Linked DNA regions of Saccharomyces cerevisiae S288C. Changing the gene in region 1 together with any one later gene gives a genetic interaction. Each region holds a gene or a part of one and is shown in the gene's direction. Other genes may lie near its edges.

The links. A genetic interaction does not mean that the proteins touch.
Region 2: mutations in YSR3 (region 1) and GMC2 together harm fitness more than expected from each alone (negative genetic interaction), as found in Saccharomyces cerevisiae (2 studies listed by BioGRID).

Annotation. Positions count from the first base shown.
Region 1 is NC_001143.9:525,870-537,007, reverse strand, and holds YSR3 (sphinganine kinase YSR3), read left to right. Parts: upstream 1-1,726; coding exon 1,727-2,941; downstream 2,942-11,138. Other genes in the region: DYN1 (dynein heavy chain), read left to right, coding at 1-1,361; MRS4 (Fe(2+) transporter), read left to right, coding at 3,544-4,458; HFL1 (Hfl1p), read right to left, coding at 4,806-6,062; TRK2 (Trk2p), read right to left, coding at 6,524-9,193; FMP46 (putative redox protein), read left to right, coding at 9,777-10,178; histone chaperone NAP1, read left to right, coding at 10,368-11,138. UniProt on the Saccharomyces cerevisiae protein: Dihydrosphingosine 1-phosphate phosphatase required for efficient ceramide synthesis from exogenous sphingoid bases. Involved in endocytosis and calcium-mediated signaling.
Region 2 is NC_001144.5:1,022,189-1,025,337, forward strand, and holds GMC2 (Gmc2p), read left to right. Parts: upstream 1-2,000; coding exon 2,001-2,384; intron 2,385-2,466; coding exon 2,467-2,649; downstream 2,650-3,149. Other genes in the region: chromatin-silencing protein SIR3, read right to left, coding at 1-63; ECM7 (Ecm7p), read left to right, coding at 437-1,783; NGK1 (hexokinase), read left to right, coding at 3,026-3,149. UniProt on the Saccharomyces cerevisiae protein: Probable transcriptional activator involved in meiotic prophase and synaptonemal complex (SC) assembly.

The DNA of each region.
Region 1 (11,138 bases):
GGTTTTACGGCATTTCTATAGGACAATTTCTATCATGTTTCAAACGTGTCTTCATTAAGAAATCTAGGGAAACAAGAGCAGCTAGGACACGGGTAGATGAAATTCTTTGGCTATTATATCAAGAAGTATATTGTCAATTCTCCACCGCTCTTGACAAAAAATTTAAAATGATTATGGCTATGACGATGTTTTGTTTGTATAAATTCGACATTGAAAGTGAACAATATAAAGAGGCAGTTCTAACTATGATTGGAGTTCTCTCTGAAAGTAGCGATGGCGTACCAAAACTAACCGTAGATACAAATAATGATTTGCGGTACTTATGGGACTATGTTACAACCAAATCGTATATATCTGCGTTGAACTGGTTCAAAAATGAGTTTTTTGTTGATGAGTGGAATATCGCGGATGTGGTAGCCAATTCCGAGAACAACTATTTTACAATGGCAAGCGAGCGAGATGTTGATGGCACATTCAAATTAATCGAATTGGCGAAAGCCTCGAAGGAATCGTTAAAAATCATCCCGCTAGGGTCTATAGAAAATCTAAACTATGCTCAAGAGGAAATATCAAAATCTAAGATAGAAGGTGGTTGGATATTATTACAAAACATACAAATGTCGCTATCATGGGTGAAAACGTATCTGCACAAGCATGTTGAGGAGACAAAGGCGGCAGAAGAACATGAGAAATTCAAAATGTTCATGACATGCCATTTGACTGGTGATAAACTACCTGCCCCATTGCTACAAAGAACTGATAGATTTGTGTATGAGGATATCCCAGGTATACTAGATACCGTCAAAGATCTATGGGGTTCTCAATTTTTCACTGGTAAAATTTCAGGAGTATGGAGCGTGTATTGTACCTTCCTATTGTCATGGTTTCATGCCTTGATCACTGCCAGGACCCGATTGGTTCCTCATGGGTTTTCCAAGAAGTATTACTTTAATGATTGCGACTTTCAATTTGCCTCAGTGTATTTAGAGAATGTATTAGCCACCAATTCTACCAACAACATTCCTTGGGCACAAGTGCGAGATCACATAGCTACGATCGTATACGGAGGAAAGATCGATGAAGAGAAAGACCTTGAAGTGGTCGCTAAACTTTGTGCGCACGTATTCTGCGGCTCGGACAATTTGCAGATCGTTCCTGGGGTACGAATCCCACAGCCTCTTCTTCAACAAAGTGAAGAAGAGGAACGGGCAAGGCTTACTGCCATACTGTCTAATACGATTGAGCCTGCAGATTCACTCAGTTCATGGCTTCAATTGCCAAGGGAATCTATTTTGAATTACGAACGTCTTCAGGCTAAAGAGGTGGCTAGCTCAACTGAACAACTTCTTCAAGAAATGTAGCCTTTTCAGGTACGCGTGTCTTGCTTGTCCGCGGTTTTCTCAGTGGACGTGCCTATTCTGGGTTCCTCTTGTTTGATGAGACTCTGATATCTACAATCCAAAAAAATCGGTTGTAGGAAGATGGCGTGCTTCTAATTAAAGTAACGTGGGGACTCTTATTTAGATACTTCCTAACTACGAGCACGTACGTCTAGAATTCATGTTATATAACATAATGATTTTTCCTTATTTTCTTAGTTTTTATCAGCCTTGCCTTGGCTTCCTTCTCAACATCTAGTTGAATTGATAACATGACAAAAAGAAGTTAGGCAGTGGTAGTCTTCAAAAAAATATACAAAATAGCAAGCCTGTAAAAGAATTTAATTATGACCATTATTCAGACGGTTACTGAATTGGGTGTTACCGAGGACACCATTAAGGTTCAGATGGCTCCTTCCGGCGGCAAACACCTATTGGCAGATCCCGGTAATCATCCAGCGGAGCATTTTGAGAGCCAGATGTCGTGGCTAAGGTTTCAAACAAGGCAGTATCTAACTAGATTCACAGACAACCAATCAGATTTCGTACATTCTTTACAAAAAAAGCACAGAACGCCTTTTAGAGACGTTTATTTCAAATACACTTCGCTTATGGGTTCCCACATGTTTTATGTTATCGTGCTTCCCATGCCTGTGTGGCTTGGATACCGCGATTTAACACGGGACATGATCTACGTTCTTGGTTATTCAATTTATTTGAGTGGCTACTTAAAGGATTATTGGTGCCTACCAAGGCCAAAATCACCGCCAGTTGACAGAATCACACTAAGTGAATACACTACGAAAGAATATGGTGCACCCAGTTCACATTCTGCTAACGCTACTGCGGTAAGTCTATTATTCTTTTGGAGAATATGTTTATCTGACACACTGGTATGGCCAACAAAGCTTCTTTTACTGAGTCTGGTGATATTTTACTACTTAACCCTGGTTTTTGGTAGAGTTTACTGCGGTATGCATGGTATGCTGGATTTATTTAGCGGCGCCGCAGTTGGAGCTATCTGTTTTTTTATAAGAATCTGGGTGGTGCATGCTTTACGAAATTTCCAGATTGGTGAACATCTCTGGTTTCCCCTTTTGAGTGTAGCATGGGGCTTGTTTATTCTGTTTAACCACGTCAGGCCCATTGATGAATGTCCTTGTTTCGAAGATAGCGTAGCGTTCATTGGCGTAGTCAGTGGGCTGGATTGCAGCGACTGGTTAACCGAAAGATACGGATGGAACCTTGTATGTAGTAGGTACGCATCATGTGGTTCTAAGGTGTTCTTGAGGCCTCTGGTAGGTGTCGCTTCTGTGATTGTTTGGAAAGACGTCATTAGCAAGACAGCTGTCTACACGCTGTTAATTAAACTACTCAGATTTCACGATGATAGAAGCGAAAAGGTTCATTTCCATAACGAGACAAGTGAAGAAGAAGAGTGTTTATTGTACAGCGGTGTTTCCAAAGTGGAAATCGTCGGAAGGTTTCTCATATACGCAGGTATACCTACAACCGTCTTTTTGCTATGCCCAGTTTTTTTCACTTGGACAAACTTAAGGTAGACTCTCGTATGTATGCATTTAGTGACTTATACATATATATTGTATCTACATAACACATCATTGAAATTCACCCCGATGAGTACATATTTGGAATTCAGCATTTTTTTTTTCTCGCTTTTGATAGCCAGCCCATCTATGGTGCTTACTAATGTATAGAGAGGATATAACAATGAAAAATCAAGATTTCAGGCATGAGTCAAGACTTTAGCTCTTTTATATACCTTCAGGATGTTCGTACCATGCGTCGCAGGCCCTAGATCGGCGTTTTGGGTTTTACACATGCATGTTTGCCGTGGTTCACCCTCTTTTAACCCACAGGAATCGCTACTTTGACACCCCCGATCGTGTCTCTTTTCGGTATTTTGGCACCCTTTCTTGAATGAGAGCATGGCGAAGACTGAAAGGCAAGAACACCCTGCTATCTTTTGCCTACCATTGGCGAACGTCATCTTATCTAAGTAGTAAGCTGTATATAAAGATATTTGGAGGTTTTATTGGAATCTCATAGAATTTTCACTTTATCAGAGGTTTATTGACGAAGACTTTCGTGAGAAGTACAAAGTGAAGAAGTAAAAAACTCAACCGAAATATCAGTTAATATTATGAATACTTCAGAACTGTCAATAGCTGAGGAAATCGACTACGAAGCTCTTCCATCACATGCTCCGCTACATTCCCAGTTACTGGCAGGAGCATTTGCAGGTATAATGGAGCATTCTTTGATGTTTCCAATAGATGCTCTGAAAACCCGAGTGCAGGCTGCAGGATTGAATAAAGCTGCCTCTACAGGGATGATATCTCAGATATCCAAAATATCTACAATGGAAGGTTCGATGGCTTTATGGAAGGGTGTTCAATCGGTAATACTGGGGGCAGGGCCTGCGCATGCAGTATATTTTGGTACATACGAGTTTTGCAAAGCTCGCCTGATAAGCCCTGAAGATATGCAAACTCATCAACCAATGAAGACCGCACTGAGTGGTACCATTGCTACCATTGCTGCGGATGCATTGATGAACCCCTTTGACACCGTTAAACAAAGACTACAATTGGATACTAATCTAAGAGTTTGGAATGTTACTAAGCAAATATATCAAAATGAAGGCTTTGCAGCATTTTACTACTCCTATCCCACAACATTGGCCATGAATATCCCATTTGCAGCGTTCAATTTCATGATATATGAATCTGCCAGCAAATTCTTCAACCCACAAAATTCCTACAATCCATTGATTCATTGTCTTTGCGGTGGGATAAGTGGTGCAACATGTGCTGCGTTAACTACACCGTTGGATTGCATAAAGACTGTATTACAGGTTAGAGGCAGCGAAACTGTCTCCATCGAAATAATGAAGGATGCGAACACTTTTGGTAGAGCCTCAAGAGCCATACTGGAGGTTCATGGTTGGAAGGGGTTTTGGCGAGGTTTGAAACCAAGGATAGTGGCTAATATACCAGCCACTGCCATTTCTTGGACTGCATATGAATGTGCTAAGCATTTTTTAATGAAAAATTGATGTTTTTTCCCCTTTTCGAGGTCAACTTTTTTTGACAACTTATAAAAGGCAAGGCCAAAATGCATTGGTGGTGGTGCTGTTGCTGCTGCTGCCACTTTTGTTGCTGCAAAAGACAAGTCCAATGGTAATAATAGAAAAATAATAATAATGGTGATATCGTCCAACTCCCACTCTGCATATATAGCCAATCCTCCGGCAAAAAATTACAGTAGCATTTATTTCATTTTATTAGAATAAGCATCCAAGTTACAATAATTGAAAAAAAAGCATTGCTTGTAGATGTTGTTTTATTTTGTATATAACCGAAAGCGCAGTAACTATGTATATACGTACATTTAACGACTCATTTAACAAGCCATTGATGACCTACTTTGAACATCTCTTCTTAAATCATTCATTGATCTACTATATCGATGGCCCATCGTGTAGTCGTGAACAACCGGATAATTTGGATCCTCAGGAAAAGTTCTCTGACCAGCAATATCATCTTCCCATGATTCCTCTATTGATTCCGGAACAAGGTTGTTATCTATACTCCCATATGCCACCCAATAACTATTTCTTCCATTATCAGTAAATCTTAGCCCATGCTTTAGTCTTTCCATAGTCGCACCGGATTGTTGTCTAGTGCTTAATAGATCCATGGCTTCAGGATCGAAGTTCCTATAATTATAGTACAAGGGACCAGCAAACAAAGTCTGTTTAAAATCCCATATTAGATCACCGCAACCAAGAAAATCTTTCAAAGCGTAAATGAATTTCATCCTGGCCCCATAAGGTATGCTAAATGCTGTGTATTTGTTCCAAGGGAAAGCTACTGCATGCAAGATGGCGAAAGGCACCATCTCTATACACAGGAGCCCATTCTTGTACACATATCCAGAGGTTCGATCTTGGTTTCCCGTACCCAACTTTCCAGTAACCACTAGACCCTGGATTATGATGCTCTGCCAATAAGAGGCAAAAATAATCAATTTGACACATAAAAATTTCAACCATGGTTTATAAGGAGTTAATTCCGGATAGAGACACTTCCAAAATAGTGCTAAACTATACAGTGACCAAGTCACTGAAATATTATAAAAAACGTTCAAAAATATTTCGAATTTGGGTAGCTTCCATGCACTGCATATCAATGTACCAAAACAATAAAATGGTTTGAACCAAACATACTGTAATATGCCTTTTTTGACAAAAAGAAAATCAAAAGGATCAGATAAGTCTATCGGTTTGCAAATTTTACCTATTAGCGGTATCGGATGTCTTGTGGGGGCGTGATTTAAGCTTAAAACAGTAATGATGTTCCTCTCGCCTCCTAGTAGTAGTGTTAAAAATGTGAAAAAAGTGTAAATAACGAATGCTTCATAAAATTCTCTGATAGGATCGACATAAAATTGAGCTGCTTCAGGCTTAATTATGCCACTTGCGCATGACACACTAAAAATGGGCACGAGCAATAGTATCCGTATGGATAGTCTTTGTTCATATGGTTTACGGTAATTTAATAAGTGTCTAGTTATGGTGTAAAAAGATATTATGGTAGCTATAATAGATGAATACACGCATGGCCAGTACAACCACCAACAAAGTAGTTTGTTTTCCATAACAATTATGTTTCTATACTTTTGTGATTGTACTGTCGCAATTCACTTTTCACTCAAACCTTTGCTTAGGTCGTAACTTGGCAGATGCTTCTAGTGGACCTGTTGATGGCTTTGGTTGGTTATTATTATTATTATTATTCTGATCTGAAAGTGGTTTAGATCTCGTTTTCTGCCTTTTTTCGTAGGGGACAAAATGCAATTCAATTGTGAAAAATACAATAAGTAAAAAGAGGGAAAAAAAATGAACTAAAATTTTTCTAGAATAGTCAGAAATCAAAAGTATATTACGGATAGGATTCGTTGTGCTTGTTGAATCGTAGTGGTACACCTTTTAGGGTCTTAATCTTTCTTATTTTTCTTTTATATTTCGTTAAAGAATAATAAACTTCGGAGATAATACATATAATACTGAGAGAAAATTACGTTGGCTCTTATGTAGGTAAAGAGGGGTAAACTTGATTTTAATGCTTCCCCCAAAACTTTGTTGCTATTTTTTTCAGTTTGTGGGATCTCTTTTTGACGTAAGTAGTCATTGGATCCTCACCAACTTTGGCTAACAACTTACCCTTAGCTTTCATATCTTGTAAACGATCAATTTGTTCCAGTTTGTCACTTGGCAGCATGATGGCACGATCCAAAGTGTATGGTAAACCTCTATTTCTTCCTCTTATTAGCATGGCAATTATGACTAGCTTCGATAATACGGTGAACTGGGCAGATAGTGATGTGTTGGTGTTTGGGTAACCCAATGACAAACCCACTGTACCATAAGCGCTAACAACTTCAAACAATATAGCAAAGACATTGAAATCAGGTTTATTAACGTCTTCGATTTTTCTGCCCTCGCATATGCATATTATAAATAATCCAAGGAATAGGTACCATAAATCAAAAGAGAGTTGCCTCCTCAAATGAGCACCAACAAACGATTTTGGGGACTGTTTCTTCGGCTTGGACTTTGTAGATACAGTGTCTCGCTCTTCGGATTCGCCATCATGGTCTGTTTCCTTTATATCGTCTTCGTGGGTGATATTTTCGTCATCTTGTCCACTATCGTATAGTCCCAACGATTGCTCCTCATAAACATTCGTTCTTCTAATGGAAATCGCCAGCGGCAGGACCGAAACGTACATCATTAGCATATAAGACACCTGAATGGACGGGTGTAATTTACTTAAGTCAACAACGTTGAATCCAGCAGTTCTTGTGCATACAGACTGGAAGAGGCCCATGAGAGCTCGATAACCTTTAGCAACCTGCCTTACTACAGCGGAGTTGAAATCCAGAATTATGAAAAGAATCCAATCCGTAGCGTTTAAGACGACTAAAGTTGTAAACAGCCACCATGTGGGGCCGCTGGGGAACAGCAACGTAAAACACCTGCGCGGATGATCCAAGAGAAACCCAAGACTTTCCTTAAACTGAGATAGGTCTCTCGAGGTCTTGAACATGATCCAAATGATAAATCGTAACATAATTGGGAAGCCTGTATTGCCTATGATGATGAAGAACATCATGAAAATCAGCGGATACGGCGCAGTATCAAAGGAAACCATTGAATCAGCGGTCAAAGACAGACCCAAGTTGCTGAATGCACTCATTGCAGTGAAAAACCCCCACCAGGTTGGAGAAACTCCATTTCGTCTAATAATCTCTGAGTAGTGGTGCCTCGTACAGGCCCATGGAACGATGGTCACAAACGCCAAAATGTTGAATCCGATGTAGTATACCATGAGAATGCAGCACAGCAATCTCAAAGCACGATATTCGACACCGCCGAGTTCCTCCTTTTGTTGCTTTGTGAGTCCAATGAAGACGGAGTTTCTGCCAAAGGTTGGCTGCCACGATAGATAGTTGGTGCTCATTGTTCTGGTGAAGGGGTGGCCTATATCACCTTCACGTCGTTTTGGTTTGGGCGGGTGCGCTTGGAACTGTAAATTCAAAGACTCTTGCGGTGAAAAGCTCATCTCCTCATCAACAAAAGATGAAGGCGCCGACTTGGCCAAGTTTCTATGATTTTCAACTACTTGGCCTGAGGTTTTAGGACTCGGTGAAGCAGTATACGTTGGGATGTTACATGATTGCGTTCTAGATATTTTTTTCTTCTTGGTGACCATATATTTGTGAGGAGCACCGTCAAAGTAGTCATGGTCACCTTCATCTCTCCGCAAGCCAAGCAATTTCTGGAAACTTTTCGTCTGGGCTAGCTTGTTCAATTCCTGAGAAGATGGCAGGACAGAATGGCGTTTCAGTGAGCAGTGGGGGGCTCTTCTCTCATGACGTTCCTGCACAATGAAAGCGGGTCCATTGGTCTCGCTCGAAAAAGAATCCGTGGAGTTTGCGTTGCTCTTCTCTTGTTGTTTTTGTAGCATCATTATCGATTTGTAAATGTCTCTTGGGTCAACGTCTGAGGGTTGGCGCTTACTTGAGAAGTTTGGAGGCGAGCTTTGCGTGTCACTGGATTCCTCCTTAGAGGAGGAAACATTCAACGGTGAGATTGAGGACAATGCGGACGTGTCAGGAGAGTCCATCGGCACATCTGAAGCGGATTGTCGTGGGTCTTCTCTGGAAACAAACTTCCCACGGAACAGGTTGTCCTTGAAACTCCTACTTCGAGCGGCATTGCCACTGCTGCCCGATAGTTCCCTTTGTTGCAACGTCATGGTCCTTCTTAGTTTAAAATTCTGTTTGGAGATATCCCTAATGTTGTCGAAGTACCTTTCAAACCAATACAGCCTGACAAAGGCCAAAAACCCATGAATAAGTATAGGCGTGGACAGCAATGTAATGACGTACACCACTATCTGCTGGTACAGGTTGAAATCGTTAGTGCTCTTGGTGGCCAGCCCGCCCTGTGTAGACGCTCCAGCAGCCAGAAATAGCACATCGATGAACGCCGTGTTCTTGCACGGATATAACAGAATGGACCCGATAATCGACAGCGTGATCAGGTAGATATAGTGCACCACGATGAAGTTGGGGAAAACGTATTTAGCAATGGGTCTGCATGATTTTAAGAACCCGGAAATGAAGTCTCTTAGCCGATGGCCCCATGATTTCTTGTGCACCAACCGTAACTGGAAGGGCAGTGCCAACGAAGCCCTGGATGACGTCCTCTTAGCTGTTGGCATGAGTGGTTCTTACAGCCTCTTATCGTCGGTGAATAGTACAAAATAGCCTCTTTTCTCATCATCTGAAACCTAGTTATTCCAATATCATTTCTCTTTTTCAGCCGCACGGCCGAGGGGATTAGAAACGAAAATTCACATCTCATCCTATTCTTCGCAGGAGATCAAAAGTGAAAGAGAGAAACGGGAAACAACCATCTGAGCATGGCAGCTTGCATCAAATTATCAATCATCGTGTGATGTACCATGGCCTATTCAACGGCGGTACGCTTGTACTACAGGGCGCTTTCAGCGCATGCCGGGCACTCCCTTCTTTCTTCCGTCGTCTTGCATCTCTCTAATCCCGTCGCTATGCTCTGATATAACCGTTGCCAAAGTGTCAAGCTGTTGTGAAATTGTGCTGGAGGCATTGATGGTTCTTGAACTCTTCCTCTTTTTAGTCTGGCTTTAGCTTGATTGGGCACGGGCACTCAATGGACGGGGTATCCACCCAGCTTGGAAAGGGGCATATAAAACCAAAAGAGAACGTTAAGAAAAGTGCAAATGAAAATAACAGACCGGGAGATCGCAAACGCAAACGCAATAAATGTCGTTTTGGAAAACATTGCAGAGACAGCCACGTACCATCTCGTTGTTTACCAATGACATCGCGTCCAATATCAAGTCGCAGAAATGCCTGCAGTTGCTGAAGGGAGACGTCTCTCATCGATTCGACGTGGAAATCGCCAACCGCTTTCCCACGTGGGACCAGCTGCAATACATGAGAACTTCGTGCCCGCAAGGCCCAGTTTCGTTGCAAAGGCAGATTCCAAAGCTGGATTCAGTGCTCAAATACAAGCACACAGACCCGACGTTCGGGATGGACCTGCAGAAGTGTGTCCAGAGGGGACTTTGGAATCCAAAGGAGGCGCTTTGGGTCGACTGGGAAAACAAGTTGGTGGGAAATGAGCCCGCAGACATTGACAAGTACATCATTCAGCGCAAATAACACCTATATACCACTATATTGAACACATACATATTTTTATAACAATGGGCTATATCTTTTTTGTATTACCCGCGTAATTGGGAAAATTTTTCCTTTTAAATAGCAGCGTTTGGGATCAAAAATGGCAGTTTGATGGTAGATTAGGAGGATTTAGTGAGCCCAGTGGGACCAAGAGCAAAGCGCAAGATCATGTCAGACCCTATCAGAACGAAACCCAAGTCGTCGATGCAAATCGACAACGCCCCTACGCCTCACAATACCCCAGCATCGGTTCTGAATCCGAGCTATTTGAAAAACGGCAACCCAGTTAGGGCCCAGGCACAGGAGCAGGATGACAAGATCGGCACCATCAACGAGGAGGACATCTTGGCTAACCAACCCCTGTTGTTACAGTCCATCCAGGACAGACTTGGCTCGCTGGTGGGCCAGGACAGCGGGTATGTGGGGGGTCTTCCCAAGAACGTTAAGGAAAAGCTGCTGAGCTTGAAGACTTTACAAAGCGAGCTATTCGAAGTTGAAAAGGAATTTCAGGTGGAGATGTTTGAGCTAGAGAACAAGTTTCTGCAGAAGTACAAGCCCATTTGGGAGCAGCGGTCCAGGATCATTTCAGGACAAGAGCAACCCAAGCCGGAACAGATCGCAAAGGGCCAAGAGATTGTGGAGTCACTCAATGAGACGGAGTTGTTGGTGGACGAAGAAGAGAAGGCCCAAAATGATTCCGAGGAGGAACAGGTGAAGGGAATTCCCTCATTCTGGCTAACCGCATTAGAGAACTTGCCCATCGTTTGCGACACGATCACTGACCGCGATGCGGAAGTTCTGGAGTACCTGCAAGATATTGGTCTGGAATACTTGACGGATGGTAGACCCGGTTTCAAGCTGTTGTTCAGATTTGATTCTTCCGCCAACCCATTCTTCACCAACGACATTCTGTGCAAGACCTACTTCTACCAGAAGGAG
Region 2 (3,149 bases), on another chromosome or scaffold:
CCTCCCCTGATCATCTGTAATGATAACTTGCCAACCGTCCAAATCTTTCAATGTTTTAGCCATTTTAGCTAATCCAATTGTTAGAACAAAACAACTTTCTTAAACCCCTGTAAGGAAGGTGATGAAAGGGCTGCTTATGTGTTTTTCTTTTTCATACTATGTTCATTTTAACTTTTTTGGAAAGAATAGCGTTTTCGCGGTCATATTACTGATGCGATGAAAATTTACAATTATTTCTTTATTTAGATTGATACATAATATGGTTAACTTTAAATACATCTTTTGGACGCCGCATAAACAAACGTCCCGAATACTTTGTTCCCCTGGATTCGTTGTTTGCTTAACACTGTCAACTCTCTACTTAGTTTCATTTACACCATTTCTTTGTGTATCAGTCATTGCGAATACCCTTGCATATCTAATGGATCGAAAATAAATGGTGATGTCAAGAATACGAGATACAATAGCCAGGCCATTCCAGAACCTTACAGCCCTTGAGAAAGTGGTACAGTGGCTAAGATTAGGGACGACATTACTCATAATCTCTTTCGGGTTGGCGTTGACTGTCGGACCCCTTTCTTCGCCAAGAACATTGTACATGTCACGACTGGATACTTACTCTGCTGATATTACGACGGGTTTATTTACCGTGTTGAGAGAGTCTATGGAGCAGTCGACATCTACAGAAGAAAATAACGGTGTAGGCTTAACAACATCCGAACTGTATATATTGACTGCTTACACCGAAAGTCAGATAAAGAATGTTCCTCAGTACATCACAGTGTCGCTTTATGGGAGGTGCGATTCAACATATACCATGGTGGAAGTATTCGACTCTGAAGGAAATATGCATAGCGTAAAGAATTCGACTACTAAGAGTACCTGCAGTAGCATAGGAACGGACTATCTTTTTGATTATCGTGAGGTTTTAGAAAGCTTGGGTTTAGATATCATTTTAGATTATGCATACAACAAAATCGGTTCACAACAGGCAGAAAGTTCTGCATACACGACCTACATGAGGAGTTTAAAACATAAAAAGGCCAACGTGTTACATTTACTCTATGCAGTTATTAGTTTCCAGGTGTGTATGTTATTTTTCATGATATGGTACTACTACATAAAGGGAAGGTTTATGAACGCCCTCAAAGAAAGGGCACTTGTTCATATCAACTCTCTACTATCGCTAGTTGTTTTCATTGGGGGCCTGATAAGTAGCATAAGCCTTGCCTGGGTTAACTACACTATTCAGTCTAGAATTAATACAGAATTAGAGGCCTTCGGGTTTTCTTACCATCTTGGAGTTACATGGTTTGCGCTTCTGTGGTGTTTTGCAGGTTTGATTTCTGTGTCATGCTTAGCTTGGTCTGGCTTAGAATGGTGTATTTCCGATAATGGCACGTCCTATGGAGGTGGAATCGATGATAAATTCTTAGGCTACCAAGCCGGTGTATTTACTGATGCAGATCTAGACGATGAAACTTCTTACAGTCAACGTTATCCGCAACGACAGTCTACTTCGGGCGAGGCTGAACTGATGAGAAACAGTGATACTATGGCAACAATAAGAAAAACATCTGATGTTGACTTAAATAGTGAAAATGATGCTAACACCAGTTTAGACCATGGAAATCCCACCGCAAATATAAGCAATGGCGGCAAACACGAACCATTTGCTACTAGAGAGGAATTCGAATTGCAGGACATAAGATTCCGGTCAAGCAACGACAGTGAAGAAAGTATGCAAAGGGTTATCAAGCCTTCGTCAGCATTACAGTTTTGAATTCTTTCACCCATCATTCAAAATGCATATGCATACTATATTTGTCTAGTTTTTAATTATATAATAATAATAACAGAAACAAAAAATCGCATTCATCGTTTAATCTTATTTTTCTTTTTTCACCTTTTTCTTGTGAAATTGCCAAGCGCTTAAAAAATCGTTATTTCAGAACTAAACATCATTAAGCAACGAAGAAGAGAAAAGCGGAACTATAACCATGAGTGATACTACGGAAGTCCCTAGGCAATCATCTGAGAACGACCAGGATAATAACTTGGAAAGAACCAACTCATTAAAAAGTCCGGACGTGACCAACAATATACCAAGTCTTTTCAAATTAGCCGCCGAATGGCAAATCAACAATCCACAGGAAACCTTCCAAAACCATATCCTGGAAAATGATGTACTCAAGAAAATTAATGAAATCACTCATTTGATCCGGGAATCGTACAAAGACCTCTCCAGTCAAGATGGGATGATGTCCAAACAACAACAGGAAAAGATGGATTGGGATTTGTTTTGTACTGTTCCTGTAAACATTATTGAGCAATATACAAAAGACATGGACGAAATATATGAAAAAATGGAAAGGCTAGCAAAAGTAAGTATAGGTCGAAACTAGGCATCCTGTGCCATCTCAATTTTACTACGTTCTTTTACTAATAATGCAAATTTAATAACAGCAACAACGTCTTTGGTGTGAATCCGCTTTTCAAATAGACGTGGAAAGATGTGGTGACTCCATTCTCAATGCTGAAACGTGGATGAAGAAGAAAGAGCGCCATTTAGAGTACAAAAATATTGAAATGGAAAGATCCGCAAATGAAATTAAGGAAACTATTCAAAGACTAACAGATGATAGATGAGCCATACTCAAATATATCTGCGATATTGCTAATGTTAGCTATTTCTCACATTTGCTTTTTTTGATTTTATTTATTTACTTTTACGACAACTGGCCTTATCACTCGGCTCTCTAAAAGAAGTCATGTTCCCTTCGTTGGGTTAATTTTTTTTTTTTTTTTTTTTGTTTATATGTTTTTTTTTTTTTTGCCAGGTATTGTTAGCGCCAGATAGCAAAAAATTTTATTCAGGGATACTGAACACCGGGGAAGTTAACTGAGTATATCGGTTATCATTATAAACACAAGAATGTAAGCCAGAAAGAAAAATAAACGTCCACCCCTCGAACTTTCACATATAAGCAAGTAAAGAAAAAGTTAACAAAAGGAGGTTCAGAACATGACAATTGAAAGCACTCTAGCTCGGGAATTAGAAAGCTTGATTTTACCCGCTGATTCCATAGTGAATGTAGTTGACCAATTCCAAGAGGAGTTGTTATCACGGCTTCAGACAAATACGATTT